4 linked regions of the Schizosaccharomyces pombe genome follow. Changing the gene in region 1 together with any one later gene gives a genetic interaction. Each region holds a gene or a part of one and is shown in the gene's direction. Other genes may lie near its edges. The genes, in order: rhp26, tda3, rdl2 and pgc1.

Region 1 (7,613 bases):
TTAGAATGTTTTCATATTGAACATGTGAACGTATTCAACTGTCAAAAAATGTGTGCAGTTTAGTAAATAAGCGTAATTTACCCATCAATAAACAATGAAATTCATCTTTACAGTAGCTCTACTAAAAGGATGTAATTTTATTTTATATAAGCGCATACAAAAACACGCTAGATCAAAACATTAACTATATATACATTTTCTGACTCAATCATAACTAAGCACTTATCACATATGTGTAATTGATTTAATGATTATAATACAATTTCTCCATCCTCTCCAGTTTTTGGCCTTTTAGGGCTTGAATGAAGGTCAGAAGGTTCATCTTCCTCATCCCGTCCTCGCTTTTTAGTAATCTCTGACTGCTTTTGACTATTTTCAGAAGATTTTGGACTAGATGTTACTTCCAATATAGTTTCAGCAACATTATTCTCTTGCTTTTCAGATATTTTAGAATTTATGGTGGAAGTAATTTCTTCTGTGACCTCAAAGTGATCATCATTTTGTTTTAGTTTTTCAATATTTTCGGGAGATTTCACATGTGAAGATGGGTCCTTTGAAGCTTCAGATGTATTATCATCTTCTGATTTGAGAACCTTATTAACCTGAACCAAAGATTCACCGTTTACTTCACTGTCCACACCCTCAGTTGGGGGTTTAGGTGATACCTTTGGCAAGTCATTTTTATGTTTTCCTTCTTCAACCTCAACGCTTTCTTTTTCCTCTTCATTTTGGACAATATCACCTTCAGCATCTGTTTGCATAGGACTTGCAAAGTTTTGAGAATTGTGCTTGACATTCTCCCTCTTTTTCATTTCCTCTAATAACTCTTCTCCTTCTATAATATGAATATCAAAAGCTGGAGGAATAGAGGGTGTAATTTTCGATGTAGTCGGTTTGCCCTCAATGGAATTACAAAGCAATTCAACATCACCTAGTCCGGTATCCGAAAAGTTTTGAAGATGGCTATTAATTGCTGAACGAAAGGCACGCCATGTCTTCGTTGCCAAGGACTGTTCATGGAAATGCTTGTCATCATCTCTAACTGCCTCTTCTATTTCAAACTTGTCTGCTTTAACGCCAGATAAAAAGCTCTCAGGTGATGGAATCCGGTACCTTTCCTCCTTTTTGAGATCATCAAGGGTATTTTCTCCAGCCTGCTCCCAGAGCCTCGACAAAGCAGCATTTCCCATAGCAAATCTTAATTTCACTGGGGTGTTTGTAAGCTTTTTTAAGCCTTCGACAGCTTCATCAATAGCCGCTTTATCTACTAGGGGTTTTTCAAGGGAAGGGCAGCCAAGCCCTTTCCATAATTTCCAATTACCCTCAATATGTATAATTTCTTTAATGGTTCTTTGCACAGAACCACACCGGGCAGTATGTAAGAAACTATATGCTTCTTTGGATAATTCATTTAACTTTGAGGTCTACATATTAGCAATCAATAAAATCAGTTTTTTTCGAGTCTAAAAAAGAACATACATCTTCGTCAGACAAAATAACAATGGGAATTACCGCCTTATTTGTCCATTTTTCAAGAGTTCTCCTTTCAATTCGTTCTTTAGAATGGTCAAGCAAAAAGTCGAAAATAATAATTAATTGTAAAATAGCCTGTAACCGGAAATCTTCATCTGAAAGTTGGTATTCAAAAAGCGACCGAGAATATATATATTTAGAAGGAAATCCTTTATCCAAAGTTATATATTTTTCAGAAAGTAATGAGCTAGAGTTTGGATCAATTGTAGGGTTTGACTTCCCATTGAAGAACGTATTTTGTAATATAGATTCGAATGCCTGTATTGCAGAACCAGCTGCATCTATAAACTTAGGTAAGGTATCACTTGCTAGTAATTTAGGAGGGTTGGAGCACATACACTGCAAATCCCAATAAGCAGTAAATAAGGTATTAAGTTTTTTGTGATATGAGAGGTCTGTTCGGTCCGAAATGGGTGTGGATGGTGGTGACAGTTCTACCTTCCCAAAAGAATGAACAGTATTATAATCTCCACGTAAATTGGCTCCACTCCGTTCTTCAGGGGGGAAAGCCTTACTTAGCAGAATATCGATCCGCCCACAAAAAGATGAATTTTCTTGCCGAGAAAGACGCCGGAGTAATTCATTTGATATCCGAAGCAAAACGGGTCCTCTTCCACGATTGCTGACAATACCTTTCATCAAGCTAGGTCTGGTTTCAAAATATTCATATAATTTGGCGCATTCGTTGACGGTGTGAATGTCCATCAGCTCTTCCAAGATTAGAAAAGGCAACAGGTGATCACAGAAGCTTTCGTTAATTTCGTTCCCTATTACTAAGAGATCCAAAATCGCAAATAAACATTTTAATCGCTCCTCCAATCCAATCTCACTTTTGCGCTACACGAAAATAACAATTAGTAACTTAAGGAAAACTTCATTATGGAAAAAGCACATACTGCTGTTTCATAACAGCAAAATCTTATTGCCGTTTCAAACTCAGTTGAGTTATGAAAACTCTCAACAATCGAAGGCCATAATTCTTTGATGAATAATTCATATTCAGAACAAAGTGGACTCTTATCCAGTTCTTTTGCCTTTTCTAATGGATATGTATTATAAAAAGCTTCAATTAAACCCTTTTGCACCTCCATTACTTTAAAAGTCTGCGAATATACAATCCGCGCGCAGAAACGTGAGTTTATCTAGCATTGACAATGTCATTTAGAAATAAGGATTTATTCGTTATTGCTTTGTGTGGTTCATTGCTTCTCGCTATAACAGGAGCAGCATGAAGGAATATGTAATTTTGCCCTTAACCAAACAACAAAGTATTTTCTTAAATTTGCAGTGAGTCTGAAAATGAGACTTTATTTAAGAAATTGATAGGATATGAGTGTCAATGAAGATCTATCCCATTTAGGGGTTTTTTCGGTTGACCAAGAGAATTTGGAACGCGATGTTACGAATACTGCTAGTGAGTACATTGCACATGAAAGTCGAGAGATCGAAAAGAAGAGACTTCAAAAAGTCAGGAAAGAAATATCTTCTGTAAAAGAAAAAATACGTCGCCTTGATGAGCGTATAGACAGTCGACTTACAAAAATAAGTGTCAAGGAGAACTTCCGCAAACAATTATCTAAATTCCGAGACACTCTTCAAAGTTTACAATCAGACGAAAATGATATTAAGAGAAGACTTAATAACGAAGATTCGGCAAATGCCCCTGGTATAGGTGCATTTTCGACTGAAGAATTGGAAAGACAAGAGCTCATCCGTACTGGTAAGGTTACACCGTTTCGAAATCTCTCTGGACTACAAAAAGAAGTTGATTTTGATGATGAATCTAGCATTCGTGAGGCTGTTATAAAGTCTGAAGGAACATACTATGAAACGGCACCTCATTTGAGTTCGGAGCCGTCAAATATTGATCATGGGATTATTCCAAGAGACGAAAAAGATGAGTACGTAACTGTGGATGCTGTTACGGAGAAAGTAGTAACTGCCGCTATAGATGATGGAGATGATTTGGTATATCGACAAAGGCTTAATGCTTGGTGTGCGAATCGTAAGGAATTACGAGATCAGGCCTCAGCATCTGAAAACAATAAAGATAGAGGAGAGTTTGAAGGTAAAGATGAGTGGTTACTACCTCATCCTTCCAAAAAAGGACAGACTTTTGAGGGTGGATTTACCATCCCAGGTGATATTCGCCCACATCTTTTCCGTTATCAAGTCACTTGCGTACAATGGTTATGGGAACTCTATTGTCAAGAGGCCGGAGGAATCATTGGTGATGAAATGGGACTAGGAAAAACTATTCAAATAGTATCTTTCCTTTCGTCTTTGCATCACTCTGGCAAATTTCAAAAGCCTGCACTTATCGTTTGTCCAGCGACTTTAATGAAGCAGTGGGTTAATGAGTTTCATACATGGTGGGCTCCATTACGTGTTGTTGTTCTTCATGCTACTGGCAGCGGACAGCGTGCTTCACGCGAAAAGAGACAGTATGAATCTGACGCTTCTGAAAGTGAAGCGGAAGAAAGCAAAACCTCCATAAAATTAAGAGGTGCTTCAAGTTCATTCCACAGATACGCTAAGAACTTAGTTGAAAGTGTCTTCACTAGAGGCCACATTTTAATTACAACATATGCTGGTTTAAGGATATATGGTGATTTGATTTTACCACGGGAATGGGGTTATTGTGTTTTGGATGAAGGGCACAAAATACGAAACCCAGATTCTGAAATATCTATTTCGTGTAAGCAAATCCGTACTGTGAATAGGATTATCCTCTCAGGGACTCCGATCCAGAACAACCTTACCGAGCTTTGGAATTTATTTGATTTTGTATTTCCTGGAAGATTGGGTACATTACCGGTATTTCAAAATCAATTTGCCTTACCTATTAATATTGGTGGTTATGCCAATGCTTCAAATGTTCAAGTGCAAACCGCTTATAAATGCGCCTGCATGCTTCGAGATTTAATTTCTCCTTATTTACTTAGAAGAATGAAGCTTGACGTTGCTGCAGATTTACCTAAGAAGTCCGAACAAGTATTGTTCTGTAAGCTGACTCCTTTACAAAGGAAAGCTTACCAAGATTTTTTGCAAGGCTCTGATATGCAAAAGATCTTGAACGGAAAGCGTCAAATGCTTTATGGAATTGATATACTACGAAAAATTTGTAATCATCCAGATCTTGTAACTCGAGAGTACTTGTTACATAAAGAAGATTACAACTATGGTGATCCTGAAAAGTCTGGCAAACTGAAGGTTATTAGAGCATTACTAACTTTGTGGAAAAAACAAGGACATAGAACTCTTCTATTTTCTCAGACTCGCCAAATGCTCGACATACTGGAAATAGGATTAAAGGATTTGCCGGATGTTCATTACTGTCGCATGGATGGTAGCACATCTATTGCTTTAAGACAAGATTTGGTGGACAACTTTAATAAAAATGAGTATTTTGATGTGTTTCTTCTAACTACTCGTGTTGGTGGATTAGGAGTCAATTTGACTGGTGCTGACAGGGTAATTCTTTTTGATCCTGATTGGAATCCCTCAACGGATGCTCAAGCACGTGAACGTGCTTGGAGACTGGGCCAAAAGAAAGATGTAGTAGTTTATCGGTTGATGACTGCTGGAACTATTGAAGAAAAAATTTATCATCGTCAAATCTTTAAGCAGTTTCTGACTAACAAAATTTTGAAAGATCCAAAACAAAGAAGGTTTTTTAAAATGACGGACTTGCACGATTTGTTTACGTTAGGCGATAACAAGACTGAGGGCACTGAGACAGGCAGCATGTTTTTGGGATCTGAACGAGTACTTCGAAAGGATAATTCCTCAAGAAATGGCAATGAAGCTGAAGATATTCCAGCTCGTGACCGAAAAAAGCACAAAATTCACGACAAAGGTAAAAAAGTTAACAGCTCCAAAGTGTTTGAAAAAATGGGGATTGCATCGATGGAAAAGTATAAACCACCGCAAGAGTCAAATGTTACTAAGACAAACTCTGATTCGACTTTAGGGGATGATTCCGTCCTTGATGATATTTTTGCTAGTGCTGGTATTCAGAGTACTTTAAAGCACGACGATATCATGGAAGCCTCCCAGACTGAAAGCATATTGGTTGAAAAAGAAGCGACGCGTGTTGCTAATGAAGCTCTGCGTGCAGTTTCATCTTTTCGGCGACCTCCTCGTCAACTTATACCTCCGCAGCAATCTACTAATGTTCCTGGTACTTCTAAACCATCAGGTCCGATTACTTCAAGCACTCTTCTTGCCCGACTAAAACAGAGACGATGAATTAATTAGAAGAAGTTCGCCTTAGAGTAAGCTGTATCCATTAAAATTTCGGACCCAATCTTGTACCCATTTATTTATTTATTATTATTTCCCTTTATTTTGTACATTAAGTTTTTCATGATTTAAGCTTTATTTATGGATTTATTGATAGACACGCGATCATTTCATTTTTTGAATGGGAATTATCCTTATTACTAGGTGGGTTTACTTTGCTTGAAAAGTATTGGAAATGTCAATTCCATGTTGAGGATAGGGCTGTCGGAATTACTTTGATCATTTTTCCCTTTTGTTAAAGTACTTGGTTAAAGTGTGTTAATGTTATTGTAAGCAAGCACTTGACAAATTCGCTTTACCTGAGACCTAAAATTAGCGTTAATAACTTTCTAGTTGGCTGAGAAAAGTATGAACACTCAAAGCGGCTTAGTTAGTGGTATGTGCAACCCGTGCAACCCTTTTTGTAGCTATAAATTACTACGTTCTTTTGTCAACGTTATTAGAATGCTAGAGTCATGTTTGTTGACAGTGTCAGAAAAGACCTTTTAATTAGAAAACTAGTGGTTCAAAAATTTTGATGTCTTGGTGCTTATTGGCGAACTTATTACTAGTACTTTTTCATTTTATATAAATTAATATTTGTATATAAGCAATGCAACCGCATCTAACCATTTTTACACACATATTTGGTTTTACCAAAAACTTGACTCGTTAATTAATTTTGGGAGCTGCAACCAACGCTGTACTTTCGTAAGATTACTTGAAATTCGAAGTCTATGTAGTTCGCTGAAACAAAATAAGACTCTGCTTCAAACAATGTTCTCTGTTGGTAAAAAAATCTCTTTTATTTTGCCTATTAAGGGCGTATTGCAAAAATTAAAGGATAATGCTCAAAAAACCGTTCTCTTGGATGCTACTTGGTACTTGCCAACAGACACTAAAAACGGAAAGAAGGAGTATTTAGAAAGTCGTCTTCCAGGTGCTCAATACTTTGATATAGATGAGGCTAAAGATCACAAAAATCCCCTTCCTCATATGCTTCCTCCAGCTGACGAATTCGCCTCTTACGTTGGAAAATTAGGAATTGACAGAAACGTAAGTAGTAGTTTAGAAATTCCAATTACTTAGTCTTCAATTTTACTAATATTTTAGACCAATGTTATCATTTATGACCGAAAAGGGTTTTTTTCGTCTCCTAGGGTTTTCTGGACCTTTAAAGTCTTTGGTCATGAGCATGTTTTCTTATTTCCTAATGCGTTTAACGCATGGAAAACTGAGGGTCTTGAATTGGAAACTGGAGAACCTAGAACTCCAAAGCCCGTTGTTTACGAAGGTGCTAAGTTGAACAAAGATCTGGTTGCTTCCTTTGATGACATTGTAAAGGTGATTGAAAGTCCAGATGCCGCAGGCGTTCACATCGTTGATGCTCGCGCTCATGAAAGGTTTCTTGGCAACGTTCCCGAATCTCGTCCTGGTTTAGCTAGTGGGCATATTCCTACGTCCATCAACATTCCATTTACCGAAACCACTGCTGCTGGTATTACAGCTCCGAAGCCTGAGGAAGATTTGGAAAAGGTGTTTTCTAGCCATGGTTTAACAGACAAGTCTGTTCCCATAATCACTTCATGTGGCTCTGGTGTAACTGCTTCTGTATTGTTTGCTGCTCTTAAGGAGTGCGGTTTTAAGGATGTACGCGTTTATGATGAGTCTTGGTCTGGATATGGAAAACGTGCCAATGAAGATTCTTCTTTACTAGCAACTGGCCCTTAAGCATACTATGGTTATCAACGATGTATTACGAAGATAAAGTAAAGGTGTGAATGATTTACCTTATG
Region 2 (5,222 bases), on another chromosome or scaffold:
GGAACGAAGTTCAGCATTGACGTCTTTACTTTTCTCAAGGTAAACGTGCAATGACTTGTGTTTATCCTTTGCTTCGTAAACATACTGCAGAATTGGCTCACAGCCAAAGACTTTTACACGACAACCAACAATATGTAATTCTCCGGTTTCCGTAGGAGTTACAGTAAGTGTAGTACGCTCTATAGATAGTGGCCGCATCGTAAAAGTAGAATGTGAACATTTTGCAGAAACCCCTTTCGTTTCTAAATGAACATCTTGCACTTCAACTGATACACTAAGAGGGTTACGAAAATAGATCGAAAACGCAACTTGTTCATCGACAACGAGGACTGATTTCGATTGGTTTTGGTCCTGTCTTCTATTAAATGGATTATAGATGAATGGTCCTTTTTCAATTGATTTTGGTAACCCGTTTCTTAACCGTTGATGAATTAATTCGGCATTCTCGGACGAACCAATGAACTTTAAATCCGTTATCATAAATGGGTCCCAGTATGGAGCGTTAATGTGTATACCAGCATTGCTAGCAAATAGGTACGTTTTTCTAAAAGCTTTAAACATAGAGATTTGTTGGGAAGAAGAAGCAGTTTGAACAGAAGTGAGAAAAAACAAAGAAATTAAAAGAAGAATACTGCGATAGTCAGATAGAGAATCACAAAGGGATATAAGCTCATTAAGAACATCAAATTGTAAATTTGACCAACCCCATTTTGTTAATTCTGGATTTAGAAGACTACCATCAGTTTTCAATAGGCCATATTCTTGACATATTTCAGATATCAAAGGTAAGATGTTACAGTAATGAGTGCTTTTAAAGGATTGTGCGGTATGCGAAGCAATAACCTCCGGATGTATTCCATTTTTTGAAGCATTTTGCCTACGCGTTTCTAATAGTACAGGTGTTAAACTCGCAACCAACTCACGCAACATCTTGACCCTTAACCGAGAAAATCCTATACTTCCAAGCATATTTGCCATAGCCCCGTATATGCGACAACGTTCACGAATTGAAAGAGAGTTAAGATGCTGTCCTTGGGCTCTCATAATCCATTGACAAATAGTTGCTTTATTTGGTACATACGTTGTAGCTTTTTTAACAGGTCTTATGGGGGCTTGAGCAATAATATGATCCAAAGCGTTGTCGTTAAATCCTTTACAACTATAAACAACTGTGAGTAAATGAGCATACCGTAGGATACTCTCGGAAAAACAGAGGCCGGGGACAGCATCATTAGGTTGAAGAGTGGATTTTTGATATAATTGATCAACTACGTTGCGCATTTCTGTGATAAAGTTTAATAGTGCATCAAATTTGAGTGGTCCAAAGGCATTCAATCTATCATTATAAGAAGGGAACATGGATAATATATTAGGAGGAATCTGGACGTCCACATGCAAATGAGCCATTATAACCAGACAAACAGTAAATAACTCCAACGAAAGTCCTTGCCAAAGAAAGTCTCCAGTTGCTTTAGAAAGCGCTATGGCTGTTGAGAAATGCTTCAACGCATTGGGAACTCTGCCGGCCAGCAAGTATAGCTGGCCAAATTGGTTCTCAATACGCCCCTTTGAGAGACTTTTGGATCGTTCCGTTACACTATTCACAGATCTTGATGTGATCGAGGGAGTTCTCGTCAAAGTAGGACGAGAAGATGAGCCTAAGGAGTGAATCGACGCATTAGAATTTTTCCTTTGCAAGGGAGCCAAATGTGGCATGTCAGTAATTGGAGAAAGGATCACGGAACGCGCGTGTATAGAAAACTCGAGCGAACTAAATCCTTCTAACAACTCAGCAGTGATATCGCATAAAATAGACCGCATTACGGAGTTTATTGAAAAATCAGACCTTGGTCCTATTATGATATTGGGAGCATTAAATATATTCTCTTTGTCTTCTGGACAATTAAATACGATGCATTTTGCAACTAACGCATGAGGTATCCTTCTCCGCCAAACATCCAAGGTAGAACATAATTGCTCAACTTCTTGTTCCTCTGACCCATCTACAATACCAATAAGAACGAAAACGCGCCGAAAATATTCAAATTCTTCTAGTAGAGCTTGTTGATCATCAAGGCTGGTTAGGAAATTGTACACCAATCTGCCCAACGGAAAAGCCAAAGGATTGAAAGAACTCGCTATTAAGATTAGTCAATAATCATAAAAATAAGAAACATACATTTTCTAGTAGCAGTAGCTACAGGGACATCACTCAACTGAATATGACTTACTCTGCGGAGTAATTGTAGGTAGGACGAGAAACTTTTTCTTCTAACACGACCAAAAGGAAGGACTAATGATTGAACTCTGGAAGGAGCAACAAACGAAAAAAAATCAAATTCCATAGCATCTCCAGCAATGTAATGTTTTGGAGCACGTACTGAGAACAAAGTGCTTGAATACCATTTAACGGATTACATCCATACCATCACTAATTTATTTTGCATATTTCTGTTGATTGTCGATCATAAGTCGGTAAAATAAACTTTTCAAGATGATATCGCTTAACAATTATCATTGTTGTGAAATGTCTAATATTTGTTATGCTTTGGAAATACCATTCTGCATATACAGCTGTACAGCTGTTTTCAGTAGATTATTTGGAATCAAAATATAATTACAACTCAATGAACTGGTTGCAGTAATTTTAATTAAGGCATGTGTAAATAATATGTAAACTATCTGAAGAATGTGAATCTGGCATTTCAAAAATTTAAAAATCCGTTTGTTTATGCGAACTTGACTTTATAGATTAGGAGGAGTATTTTGTAATTTTTTTCCTTTTTTACAATCGTTTGGTATTCATGAAAGAATCGTATATCTCGCCATAGCAATTTATGAAAGGCATTCTGAATGGCAAAAACTGTTGAATATTGAACCGTTTTGTTATTATTATTATTGCTATTTATTTTATTCTCAAAATGGTAAAAAAATAAGAGAGATTGAAGGAAATACTGGTGAGGATAACGTAATGTTTAGAAGCGTTACAGCAAGATGATTGTGTTTCAAGTCAACTTTCCAACTTCAAATATGAGCGCTACAAGTAGAGAAGGAAATAAGACAAAGATAGGAATAGTAGGAGGTAATTTTGGAGAACAACAGTTTCATAAATGATGAGTGAGCATGCTGACGATGATTTTTAGGTGGCATTATTGGAATTTGTACGGCGTTTTACTTAACAGAAGAACAAGAATACAAAAAAGGAGAATTGGACATATTTATATTTGAATCAAAAGAAATAGCAGGAGGTAGCTCCGGCATTGATTCTGCAATCTTGACAAAACTGTGCCAGAATGAAATCATACAGCCACTTTCAACTCTCGCTTTGAAGCTTTATGAAGGATTGGATAAAAAATTTGATGGGAAGAAAAACTGGGAATATAGGACTGCCAATTCTTGGTTTTGTAAGATGAAATGGGACAATACCAATGTTGCCAAAGTTCCCGATACTTTGCAATGGCTTCAACGAGAGCGCATGCAAAAATGTAAGCTCATAAGTGCTACCAAAAAAAAATAATAACTTTATTGTATAAGTCATATAGAGACTAACCATTTAGGTTCTAGTATCGGTTCCGGCAACGATTTTGCAATGATCAATCCAAAATTGTTTTGTCAATTTATGGCAAAAGAAATAGAAAAACGAGGAGTAAAGTTTATATTTGGAAGTGTGAAAGAGGTTAGTAAACACCATATTACATACGTTCCAAAACAAGAAGCTGAAGATACAATAATAAAAGCACAGGTGCATAAAACGCTGGTGAGTGCTGGGCCTTGGACTGGTTATCTATTACCATTTACTGGTATTGCAGGTCTATGCATTCCCATAATTCACCTATCGGTAGGAAATTTTCCCGTTGGCGACAGCATTGTTGTGTGTTGTTTAAATACCATGGGTAATCTAAACATTTGCAAAACAACCGAAATTTTCAGTAAAAACCGGGAGCAGCTTATTTTTATGGGAACTCCAAAATTCCATTTGCTGCCAAAAGATAGTAATCGATGTTTTTTTAATCCTTTTGAAATTATCGAATTGAAAGAAATGACCGATTTGGTGCTCTCGGAGAATACGAAGAGTAACTACTTAGACGCATCTTTTAAGTTCCTTCCTACCAGTAGAATAACAGGTATCCCGATAATATCAACAACCAAGTCTGGTGTATTTGTTGCAGCGGGTCACGCCAACTGGGGGATAACTCAAGCTCCTGCCACGGGTTTATGTATGGCAGAAATGCTCCTTGGCAAGGAAAAAACAAGCATAAACACAGATCCTTTTCACTTAAATCTCGGTGAATGAGGATTTCAAATTATATCCTCTAATTTTTGTTTTAATTGTTTGTCAAAAAAAACGAAGGACTCATTCACTGAAAGGTGAAAATATAGAAGCAGAATGGATGCTTATTCCTTTACCGAAATAGAATATTACAGTGTTGTAAAATTTTCTAATCATATTTATTAAGGTTTTCGTTTTTATCGCATTGGAAAATCGATTTTCTTTTTTTTTGTTTTACAATTTCCATCTCGACTTAGTATACCATTCGTTACCTCTAAGTTGATTGTTACTTGAGAACACTTGCTCGTGTTTTTACAATTCTGCTATACGCCAACAACAGTAAGACACTAACATTCCTCACAAAATGTCTTCTTATCGGGGATCAACTCGACCCAGAAAGAGGACGAGAGAGGGAGAGAATTATGGATTTCGTCCCCATAGAGGAAACTCTCAAGAGCTACTTGCAGCGCGTATAAAAAAGGATATTACCTTTTTGGCGGATCCTCGAGGAAATTCAGTAGCTGCTGATGACATTAATTATGTTGCTATGTCTCTTAGTCGTGAAGCTAATGATCCTGAAACCATTTCAACTATCTTAGATTGCATTCAGACAACGTAAGTGATAATTTATACTGTCCCTTCAGAAAACTAATTTAATCCTTAGTGCATTTATCATTCCAGTCAAAATACCTCATTTGGCTACATTAATTATAAGAGCCTCATTAAGGGTTCCTTTAATCTTAGAAAAAGCAGCTGCGTATTTTTGTTTACAGTATTTTACGAATTTAAACTCCTTTCTTTATTACGAGGCTAAAGTCGATCTACGAATGCTCATTTGCATGTCATTTGCACTTCAACCAGGTACCCTTAAGCCACTATTTTCATTACTGGCTGACGCTATCTCAAAAGAAACCAAACCCAGTGTCTGGGGAGATAATTTCCTGCGCATAAT
Region 3 (4,769 bases), on another chromosome or scaffold:
GAGCAACGGCATTCACACGAATACCATGCTGCGCATATTGATTGCTCAACCCCCGAGTAAATGCGGTAATGGCACCCTTAGTGGATGTGTAGTCTAGTAAATCAGGTCGTCCTACATAAGCGTTGATGCTGGAACAATTGACAATTGAACTTCCGCTCTTCATATGCGAAATAGCGGCCTTGGTGACCCAGAAAAAGGAGAAGATGTTCGTTTTAAAAGTGAGATCCCATTGTTCATCGTCGATATCTTCAATGGATTGAGCGACCTGTTGATATGCGATGTTGTTCACCAATACATCGATCCAACCCAGCTTCTTTAGAGCAAAATCAACCAAATCCCTACAGTTATCAGACTTGTCAAGTTTTCCCTCCCATATCCAACAATTTCTTCCTTCACGTTCAATTAAATCTCTCGTAACTTCTGCATCGTCTCTTTCTTCTGGAAGGCATGATATAACGAGATCAGATCCCTCTCTGGCAAACATCACCGCTGCTGCTTTACCAATACCAGAGTCTCCTCCTGTGAGCAATGTCTTTTTCTCTGCAAGTTTCCCTGATCCGACATGTACCCGTCCATCACAATATCTGAGAAGTGATGGTTCAGGATCTAAGTCGGCATGCTTGCCAGGCCATTTTTGAGTTTGTGTGCTAGGAACAGGATCCATTTTATTAATGTTTTTTTAATAAAGTCGCAGTTATTTAGTTAGTTAGTCAGTCGTAGTAAATTGGAAATATATTAAGGCGCACGTCTATCTCTATATATAATATATTTTTTTTATTTTTTGTCGGAGAACATCCATTTACGTTTCTATGTCATAATCCCCTGATGTATAGGAAATGAACGTAATTTCGAGAGAGAAATCCATTCTCGACAATCTATTCATTCCGCCTAATATTTTTATTCATTCCGCATAGTACTAGAAGCGTGGGAACGGTGTTCCGCCGCTTTGCAATCTCTTTAATTGATATGAGTTAACTTTATACTTCATCCGCCTGCGATTCAAGGTTCGCTTGTATTCAGCAGTTGCGGCTCGATCAGGAGTCTCGTAATCCAGGATTTCGTAAATTATGGCATTGTGATCATGGATCATTAAAAAAAAAATTAAATGTTGTAAAGGTGAATTGAAACGAAAGACAACCATCATTTCAAGCTAAACCTCAATCCAACATCCAAAGAATCAACTAAGACCTAACCGGTATTCACTCTTTAATATGATATCCCCTCTTTATCAGTGATGTTTTCGGGTATCGCAATTATGAAGTAAGTCATTCTTCATAATATTTGATTTCGATGGAAAAAAAGCGCAAAAAAAAAAGAGGAAGAAAATATTAACTAAATCAAAACAGTACGTAATTGGTATTCACAGTTGGATTAAAAGTCTGCTTAAGGAAATTAGCTATTAGCACTAGTTAGCTATGATCAACCGCCGACTGTTGTATTCGGTACCGAGCGACAAGGTTGGTACAATAAGGGACTAAGTGAATGAATGAAATTAATGAAAGCGAATGAATAAGGTAAATATTAATTTAATGGGTGAATTGTAAATAAATTATATTGAGTATTCGAGTGAAACAGATGAACTGTATCGAATTAACCGTTCATATATTTGTCCATAAAAGATTGTAAACCAGAGAGGTATCTTAAACACTGAATCTTACTGACCTTCATTTTTACAAGTTTTTATTTTCCTTCATCCATTGCAATCATTCATTTCGGATGATTGAATTGGAAAACATTGCCAATATGATTATTTAGGTTCATTATTTTATATATTTATTTATTGGCATAAAATTTTTACTACTAGTTTTTCTGCCGCTAAAAGAAACAATAATTTATTCTAGATATAAATTTCTTTTTTTATTTTTTATATTTTAATGGACGCATGTGAATCACTTTTCCATTTGAAATTTCAATTTTCAATAATATGCTGCTACCTTAGAACTTGCAATATTAAAATTGATGCGAAATCTTAGTAAACGTAATATCATGTGCAATACAATCAAAAGTGATTTGAACTGTGACCTAATATCAAAGGTGGACTTACAACCTGTTTTCTAATTGTACTGGCAAATTTAAACATCATGCTTACGTTAAACCTAGCGTTTCTCCATTGCGAGAATATCAGCACTCATAAAAATTTGTGTACTGTGATTTTTTTCCTATTACATTAGCATTGAAGCATGCCATGACATTACAGTACAGTGCATTTCAGGCCCGACGAGAAAAAATAAATAAATAAACTTACGTATACATCTATATAAATCAGCGTCGTATGAATTCCTGTTTTCTCCTAATGATAAAACAAACAACTGTAGCTCAATTGAAAATTAGAGTGCTTGTTTCTGTCAGTGTATTTCCAACAAACATAATTTTATGAATAACAAATTATCCATAAAATGCTTTTTGGTAAATCCATATGCTACCTCCATATAGTAATATACACAATTAAAGATCCGCAATTTTAAAGAACTGTGCCAAAGACGTACGTACAGTTCTATTCTATGAACTTATATACTGAATATGTAATTGTTTAAAAGTGAAACATAGAAAATGCGGCAACTTCATTTTTCCCGATGGATGAATCGCTCTTTTCTTGAATAGTAACTTTAAAAACTACCGTTTTAAAAAAGAAAAATATTATTGAAAAATCTCGAAAATACAAAGATCCATTTCATTTATTGATTCCTCTGAACACAAGCCCCTATAACACTTCAAACCTGCCGATTTCGTAATAGCGATCGTTCATATAATCATACTACTCACCGATCACGCTTATACCACTACCGTCAACTGTGGGAATCTGAGATTTAACCTGCCTGCTGAAAGGGGCCATCTAGCTGTAATAAACCTTGTTTTCACCCATAATGTTTTCTAAAACTCTTTCCGTATCTCGCCTCCTGATGACCCGCTCTTTCTACAGTTCTACAGTAGTTAAGAATGTCAGCATCTTTGATTTCGAAAAGGTAAACCAACATAGGAATACGTTTGCTTTCATATGCGATGTTTTCTGGTTAAAGCTAAGTTTTACACTTCGCTACTCTACTCTCCAAGTATTTTGGAATTATTAACGGTACTAACTTGAAATAGGTTTATAACCTTAGTAAAAGACCAACTGGCGACAAATCCACCGTTTTAATTGGTAAGGACAATACAATAGTGAGTTAAAACTTATTCTGCTAACATGTCAGACGTTCGTGAGCCCGATGAATTTAAGCAAGGTGCAATCGAAACTTCTTATAATTTACCTGTTGGAAAAATCGAGGAAGCCATGAAACTTAGTGACGAGGAGTTTTCCAAGACTTATGGATTCAGCAAACCCGTTTTTGAGGACAACGTTGTAGTTTACTGTCGCTCTGGTAGAAGAAGTACGACCGCTTCTGACATTCTCACCAAACTCGGCTATAAAAAGTATGTTTGTATAGGTGAACAATTCCACTTAATTTCGAGAACAGTGTTCAAAAACTAACCTTTTAGTATTGGAAACTACACTGGCTCATGGCTTGAGTGGTCCGACAAAATTAAGTCTAAGTGAGGGTAGACTCGAACGCTTTCCAGCCTTCTCACCCATTACGTTACCTTTTAGTTTTATATGTAGTTTAAGTTTCTAGAGTTGAATGCATGCATCGTATGCTTGCTCACCATTTTTAGATGATAAGTAAGGTGTACTTAGAAAACAAAAACAATTTTACTGCAATGTAACAATAAGGTGAATTGAACTATGATAAGTTACTTACTCAAGCGATTTATTCCTTCGCATTTCTATTGTCAAAGACTTCGACGAAAGGGTAAAGCTGTAAATACATTGGAAGCTATTAATATGGGAAAATATATTTTGAGACAGTCATTGTAGTTAATTCCGGGTTTAGAAAGAACACCTCCAAATTCAATTAAACTAGGGAATACAGTTCAAGCACGTGTTAAAGATAACTCTAAGAAATTAGTTTTCGAACAACCAGGTGGAATTAAAATTGATGGGTTTTTGACATTTAAAGGCTTGAAGAATACTATTCATACCTTGCCGGTTTGCTCAAAACGCGAATAACATTTTTTTCTTTTGCACTGAATGTTACAATCTCAATTACAAGTATGATTAGAAAGGAGACCTTTGAACTGACTGTCCCCTAAATTTCTAATGTAGAATTTTTACTTTCTCTAAATTTAAGAAAATTCAGAATCATACTTCATAATGTTACTCTTGCTAAAGAGAAAACTTGGATATGCCATAGTAATTAAACCAATTTTCTTCATATTTCATCCTTCATATTTTGTAAGATATCGTTGATTTCTTTAGAAAGTGAAGAAAGTCTAATAATTATTTGTTAGTTATATCTGGATAATTCAATTTTCAATTTACCTAGCTTCCAATTCTGAAATTTGCGTATTCTCAACTGGTGAATTAGTAGAAACAACTTTTAACTGCTCAAGTTTGACGGTCTGCAAATATTATACATTGTAAGTAACTTGCATAGAAAGATTTATGAAAAAAAATTTACCGCTTGTAGCTTAGAGCGCTCTTTTTCCTGTAAAGAATCCACCAATAGTTTAAGCTCCTTAGTAAGAGATGCTTGATAGTTTCGAATATCAGAAGAAACTTCATTTAAACCTTCAGTCACCAGTTGAACAATTATGCCCATTTGCTCAAGTCCAATTTTTTTCTCTTGATTTGCATTGAGAGCACTACCTTTGTTAGACCTATTTTATTTATATATCTTTGAAAATACTTACTCCTCCAGTTCTTTGTATAACTGAGCTCTCGTTTCTTGAGCTCG
Region 4 (5,661 bases), on another chromosome or scaffold:
TTCCAGATCCCGAAGTGGTGATTATTCTGTCTTTATGAAGTAGTAAAGAAGTTATCATAAAGTTTGGAACATGAATGGGAAAAGATAGATGACTTGGAGGTATCGAAGGAAATAACCATCGTTTTCTATTGAGAAAATGTCTTTTGAAAATTTCCGGAAAATAGTCATCTGAGATTTGGTCGTTGTGCAAAAAAGGTGGACGATTTAAGTTTGGATTAGCATATTTCCAGTCATTTTCATTGATTTGAAAGCCAAATAAACTAAACATGTGTTTCCAGTATGAAGTATGCACATCAAGTATTCTATTCCAAGTAGGCGAAACAAGACGGCAAGAAAGAAAAGAATGTATATCCAGATTTAATAATATAGACTGAACAATGGAAAAAGGAAGATTTGAAAGTATATCTTTTTTTAGAAGCGGCTCGCATTCATTCAATAATAAACGCATCGATTGCCGATTGCACGAACGGAGTAGTTGAAAAAACGCATAAGATTGAATTCCTTCTGGAAGATCCTCAAAAGTTTGAACAATTGACTGTAAGTTTAAATCTTCAAGATCCTCAGAGATAGGTTTACTACCAGGTGAAACAGTGTTTGATGTGTCGACTTTCGGAGAAGGAGGGAAATTGTCGGAGTTAGATGAAATGCTATTATCTAACTTAATTCGATTGTTTCTATCAATTGATATAATTTTAGGTGGAAGAGAAGAATGAGAATATAGAAAATTCCTTTGAGGAACAAGGGAAATGGAAAAATCGCCAGGAACACTATCTGGCGGTGAGTGGTCTAAGCATTTATAAGAGACATTCTCTATACTTTCATTAAACTTTCGAAGAAAAGAAGGCGTACAAGAATGCTTTAATGGGTACTGATACGAATCAGTGCACGGCAGGGAAGAACTCGTATTGCCATTACAACTATTTGATTCTGAGCGAGGATCCGATGCAATTTGATCATCTTGAGGAAGCAGGTTATCCCCATGAATAAGTGAAGAAGGAAATACTTGAGGATCAAATGATTCTGGAGGTGTAGCAGGGCTGCTGCTATTTATTAAAGGAACAGAGGAATTTATACGGGAGGACGAATTGTCAGTTGGACACCTAGAGAGTGACATGCGTAGATGCAATGATTGTGATTTTTCGTTGAAATAAATAAGAAGTCAAAAATGAGCTTTAAGGAAAACAGTCGATAAAACAATCTGAAAATAAATTGGAAAAGAGACCAATGAAAAAGTTACTGACAGATTGGAAAGAAGAAACAACACCGTTATGGTTTGTTTCTACAGATTAATCAAAAACTGGCATATGCCGAAATTAGATACAGATTAAAAAGTGCGGGCATAAAGAGAAAATGAATAATGGAAAGGTTTTTTTATAAGTAATCTTTTAATTGAAAAAATAACAGAAGCTCAATATGCGTTGTTCATACCATACAGAATCTTTGTGTGTGGTAGGAGGCAAGTTCTGGCGGAGAATTTGTAAACAAAAGTTCGTACAATGCGAATGCAAAACTTGTAATAAAAAGATACATGAATTGATACTTTTTAAGTAAATAAATATAAAGCGGTACCTAAAACAGGAAACATGGATTAAGAAAATTGAGTAGAAGTTATATGATACAGATTAGCGTAAGCAGCGTTTTCAAACAAAATATATGCATTTTTTATTTTTCTGAGCTAGAATTTGATGTTCGTTGATAAATAAAATAAGTTTTATGGAAGTTAATACGAAAACTGATTGTAAATCCCATTGCTGGTATATTGTTAGCAAAAAAAACCATAATGGCCTAAGTATCAGTTTCATAAATTCAAAAACAACTAAAAATTTGGGTTCGAATGAAAAACATACTTGATTTACGTCTGCTACGGAAGCTATACTCATCTTGTAATTCCACGCCTCTCATACAGCTACCGAAAATTGCTACTACTTTTTGACCTGAACATAAACCGTGTTTTAAAAAGTTTGGTTTTTATTAATGTTTTTTTTATCTTTTTTGTTTTCTCACATTATTTGAATAATTAATGAAATGGATTCTCACACAACAGAAAAGCGTAGAGGTTCTTACCTGCGCGTCCTGTTTAAGAATGGACGTTTACCAGTAGAAGGATTTCTTTGGAACTGTGATCCCTTGACTGGAACATTAATTTTGATTCAACCTCTTACTCCCAATACAGACGAGGTTGAAGATACTCATTATCGTTTTTATGGTATAATGTCGGATGCTATTCAGACCATTGAACCCGACGAAAGTATGTCTCCTCTTAATCAACAATCGCTAGCAGAATATGATTCTCTATTAACTTCATGATGCGAATTGCATTCAGCGTTTGAAATATATGATTTGAATCTACAATTCTGATGGATAATTCGCTTCTTTTGCGAGGGAAATGTTTTCCTTCCTTTATCGTAAATTAACTATATAAAATATTGTTATACTGAATTGACTTCGACGAATCACTTCAACGCCTTTTTTGCAACCTGAGCGGAGCGGAGTGATATCATCGGACTACAGTAACTGGTATATAGTTGCTACATTCTTTACTTCTCCCAATACCAACATCGTTCTCTTCAAAATGGCTTTTAACTACTCAATTGCCAATACCGTTGATGATGCTGCTCAAAGCATTGCTGAAAATACGAGTTCTTTAGCCACGTTTTCAAAACCGCCTTTGGTCATTGCTCATAGAGGGTATGTTTTATGAATGTATTAGTTGCATACTGCTTTTATTATTAGTAGACTTAGTTTCATATCTGCAACTTTGTACCCTTAATTGTCAAAATCCTTCTCCAATTTAGCAAATGTTTAACTTATGTTTACAGATACAAAGCTAAGTATCCTGAAAATACTATACTAGCATTTCAACAAGCCGTAAAGGCTGGTGCTGACTGCGTTGAAACAGATGTTCGACTAACTAAAGATGAAGTGGTTTGCATTTTGCATGATAGAAATCTTAACAGAGTATTCGGTGTTGATGTTGATGTTCGAGATCTTGATTATGAATTGGATAATGGTCATTTTCGTACCATTCAAGAGCCTCACGAGCCGTTACCTACCTATGAACAATTTTTGCATGAATTAACCAAGCATCCTGGCGTCAATCTACTTGTTGACATTAAGCCAGTAAACGATTTGTTAATTATTCCCAGAATGGTTGATGCAATGCTTCGGGTTAATTCTGATTTAGACTTTTGGAAAGACAAAGTATCGTTTTGTTTATGGTCACATAGGTTCATCCCTGCTTGTGATCGATATGCCCCATCAATTCCGTTATATCATATTGGATTCAACTTCGCTTATGCTGAAAGACATTTTGTTATGCATCCCAGAGTAAAGGGTGTCAGTATGGCTGTTGCTCTGTTTTTACTTCCTCATTCTCAGGATTTTGTTGATCTCGTTCATGCCCAAGGTAAACAAGTCTTTGCATGGACTTTAAACACACCTTCTTCTATCTATCTTGCTTTAATTAGAGGCTGTGACGGACTTTTATCTGATGATCCGGTGATGGCTAGAGCTCTTTCCCAAGGCCCAATTGTTACCAAATCTTGGCATTATTTCCATTATTCCGAGTGGCTTCATATGATTTATGGTTTCTTACGAGCACAATTTGTCTTCTTTTTATTGAGAACCTTTGTGTTGTAAGTATGTTATTCTAAATATGGAAAATACATATATTATGATTGATGAATACTAGAATTCCGGTTTTAGTGATTGAGCATTTTTGTTGCTCTTCCATTTGTTTAAATCCCATCTCCCAATTTTTTCTTATTTGCTTGAGAGTTTACGCTCTATCTTTTTGTATTATTGCAATCGCTCACTAAAGATTTTTGTCATTAGGACAGCCACGTTGAAGCAGAAAAAAGAGAAATTCGCAAACATACGTGGCATTTCAATTGATAAAAAAGTTTTTTTCTATCGTTTTTTTCGTTTCAAAAATATACTTATTTACAATAAATAACATAACTTGGCAAGGCATTATGCCGTCCTAAATAATTTGCATTTAGTACGGAACAAGCGTATTCTGCAGTAGTAGTTTAATCATTGATACTCTTATTATCTTATGAAAACTAATATTTAAGAACTAGTTAACACTTTTAATAGTTTGAGTCAGTATATTAACAAAAGAGCCTTGATTCATCAACAATAGATGCTACCAGTTAACTATTAATATAAATTCGTCTATAAGAAGTTCAATGAGATTTTCTAATTAAAAAAAAAAAAACGTACTTAATTCGAAGCATGCTTCTAGCTTAAATTATCAAACAAATTACAAAGAAATGAATTTTATTTTTTTAGGGATATAATCAATGGTTAATTTTCAAAGAAAAAATTATGATCTGGTTCGTGGTGTGCAGAGTGGTAGTATACGTACCCATCCATTCATACTATAATACTTTCATAGCTGCATAGCTACAACATCAAATATCATACATGTCAAAATGACAGATTTGGAGATAGAAACCGTTAGTAGGGTTTCTAGTAATCCTGATGAAGTAAAAGGATCGTCTGTTGTCGAAGAAGAACCGGATAGTGAATCAACAATCAAAAGTCGAGTTTCTGATGAAATAGATGAACATGATTCCATACCTGAACAGTCTAATACTGAAAAAAGTATAGAAATTAACGATAAAAACTTAGAAGCGGAAAAAGATATTGAAAGCAATCTATCTCTAAGACCTCCAGAAGATGACTTAGATTCACGTTCGATTGAAAGTGAACAAACAGGTACTCTGAGCAAACAGACTACATCTACTTCTGAAGCTCCACAAGATCTAAAGATTTGGAAGAATATTTCAAACGCCTCTAACCAAAACTCTGGCAAACTCAATCCTCAACTCTTCGTAATTGAGGCTTTTAAGCATATGTCAAAAGCAAAGGCTACAAAACGGCATAAGAAGCTTAGGGAGGCTATCAATAATGTCCAAATAGAATTACAAAAGCAGCCATTTCTTCTTCCCGAAGTCATTTTGGAACCTTTGGTAATGGCTTGTCAAACAAATAGTACAACGTTGCTGACTATTACTTTGGATTGCTTTGCCAAGCTGATTGATTACAATTATTTTGATTCCCCAACATTAAATCCATCGGATATTACCTTAATGGAACGTGTGGTTAACACTATTGCATCCTGTTTTTGCGGTGAGTCTACTCCAGAAAGAGTGCAGCTACAAATTGTAAAGGCTTTATTGGCAGCTATTACTTCTGAAAGGACAATCATTAGACATTCGTTTTTACTTACAGCAGTGAGGCAAACTTACAATATTTTCCTCTTATGTAAAGACTCAACTACCCAAGCCATTGCTCAGGTAGCTCTTTTACAAATGGTTGATTCAGTATTCCAGCGCCTTTCTACCGTTCTTAATCATGAAAGAGAATTTTCTACTATTAACATGAATAAATCATCCAGTAATGGAACTCGTAAGCAATCATCATGTTTTTAGTTCTTTATACTAACTTATTGTTTTAGCTGATCGTGCTAACTCTCCTATACCTTCTCAATTATCAGAAAACAAACTCACACTTGAATCTTTCGAGCACAGAAAAAGCTTTGACCAGGTTCGTGAAGAAGCTCCTTTGGAAGAGGATTCTTTGGAGCAACAGTTGCTTCGGGATGCATTTTTGTTAATCAGAGCTTTATGTAAGCTTTCTATTAAAAACATTCCG

Evidence for each region.
Region 2: mutations in rhp26 (region 1) and tda3 together harm fitness more than expected from each alone (negative genetic interaction), as found in Schizosaccharomyces pombe (one large-scale study listed by BioGRID).
Region 3: mutations in rhp26 (region 1) and rdl2 together harm fitness more than expected from each alone (negative genetic interaction), as found in Schizosaccharomyces pombe (one large-scale study listed by BioGRID).
Region 4: mutations in rhp26 (region 1) and pgc1 together harm fitness more than expected from each alone (negative genetic interaction), as found in Schizosaccharomyces pombe (one large-scale study listed by BioGRID).

Annotation. Positions count from the first base shown.
Region 1 is NC_003421.2:1,177,807-1,185,419, reverse strand, and holds rhp26 (SNF2 family helicase Rhp26 ), read left to right. Parts: upstream 1-2,781; 5' UTR 2,782-2,862; coding exon 2,863-5,784; 3' UTR 5,785-6,488; downstream 6,489-7,613. Other genes in the region: THO complex subunit Tho1, read right to left, coding at 252-1,424, 1,480-2,370, 2,430-2,624; thiosulfate sulfurtransferase Tum1, read left to right, coding at 6,595-6,873, 6,931-7,548. UniProt on the Schizosaccharomyces pombe protein: Involved in transcription-coupled repair (TCR).
Region 2 is NC_003424.3:3,223,899-3,229,120, forward strand, and holds tda3 (FAD-dependent amino acid oxidase), read left to right. Parts: upstream 1-3,030; coding exon 3,031-3,082; exon of another isoform or gene 3,083-3,143; coding exon 3,144-3,485; exon of another isoform or gene 3,486-3,557; coding exon 3,558-4,294; downstream 4,295-5,222. Other genes in the region: TRAPP complex subunit Trs120, read right to left, coding at 1-2,138, 2,180-2,345; cbc1 (nuclear cap-binding complex large subunit), read left to right, coding at 4,635-4,885, 4,935-5,222.
Region 3 is NC_003424.3:3,837,476-3,842,244, reverse strand, and holds rdl2 (thiosulfate sulfurtransferase Rdl2), read left to right. Parts: upstream 1-2,774; 5' UTR 2,775-2,864; coding exon 2,865-2,963; exon of another isoform or gene 2,964-3,087; coding exon 3,088-3,139; exon of another isoform or gene 3,140-3,188; coding exon 3,189-3,408; exon of another isoform or gene 3,409-3,474; coding exon 3,475-3,532; 3' UTR 3,533-3,585; downstream 3,586-4,769. Other genes in the region: SPOM_SPAC4H3.08 (3-hydroxyacyl-CoA dehydrogenase), read right to left, coding at 1-664; SPOM_SPAC4H3.06 (uncharacterized protein), read right to left, coding at 4,245-4,305, 4,355-4,434, 4,494-4,677, 4,726-4,769.
Region 4 is NC_003424.3:5,350,584-5,356,244, reverse strand, and holds pgc1 (glycerophosphoryl diester phosphodiesterase), read left to right. Parts: upstream 1-2,549; 5' UTR 2,550-2,572; coding exon 2,573-2,688; intron 2,689-2,746; exon of another isoform or gene 2,747-2,819; coding exon 2,820-3,639; 3' UTR 3,640-4,146; downstream 4,147-5,661. Other genes in the region: F-box/WD repeat protein Pop2, read right to left, coding at 1-1,114; SMN complex subunit Gem6, read left to right, coding at 2,026-2,307; Sec7 domain-containing protein sec71, read left to right, coding at 4,437-5,415, 5,465-5,661.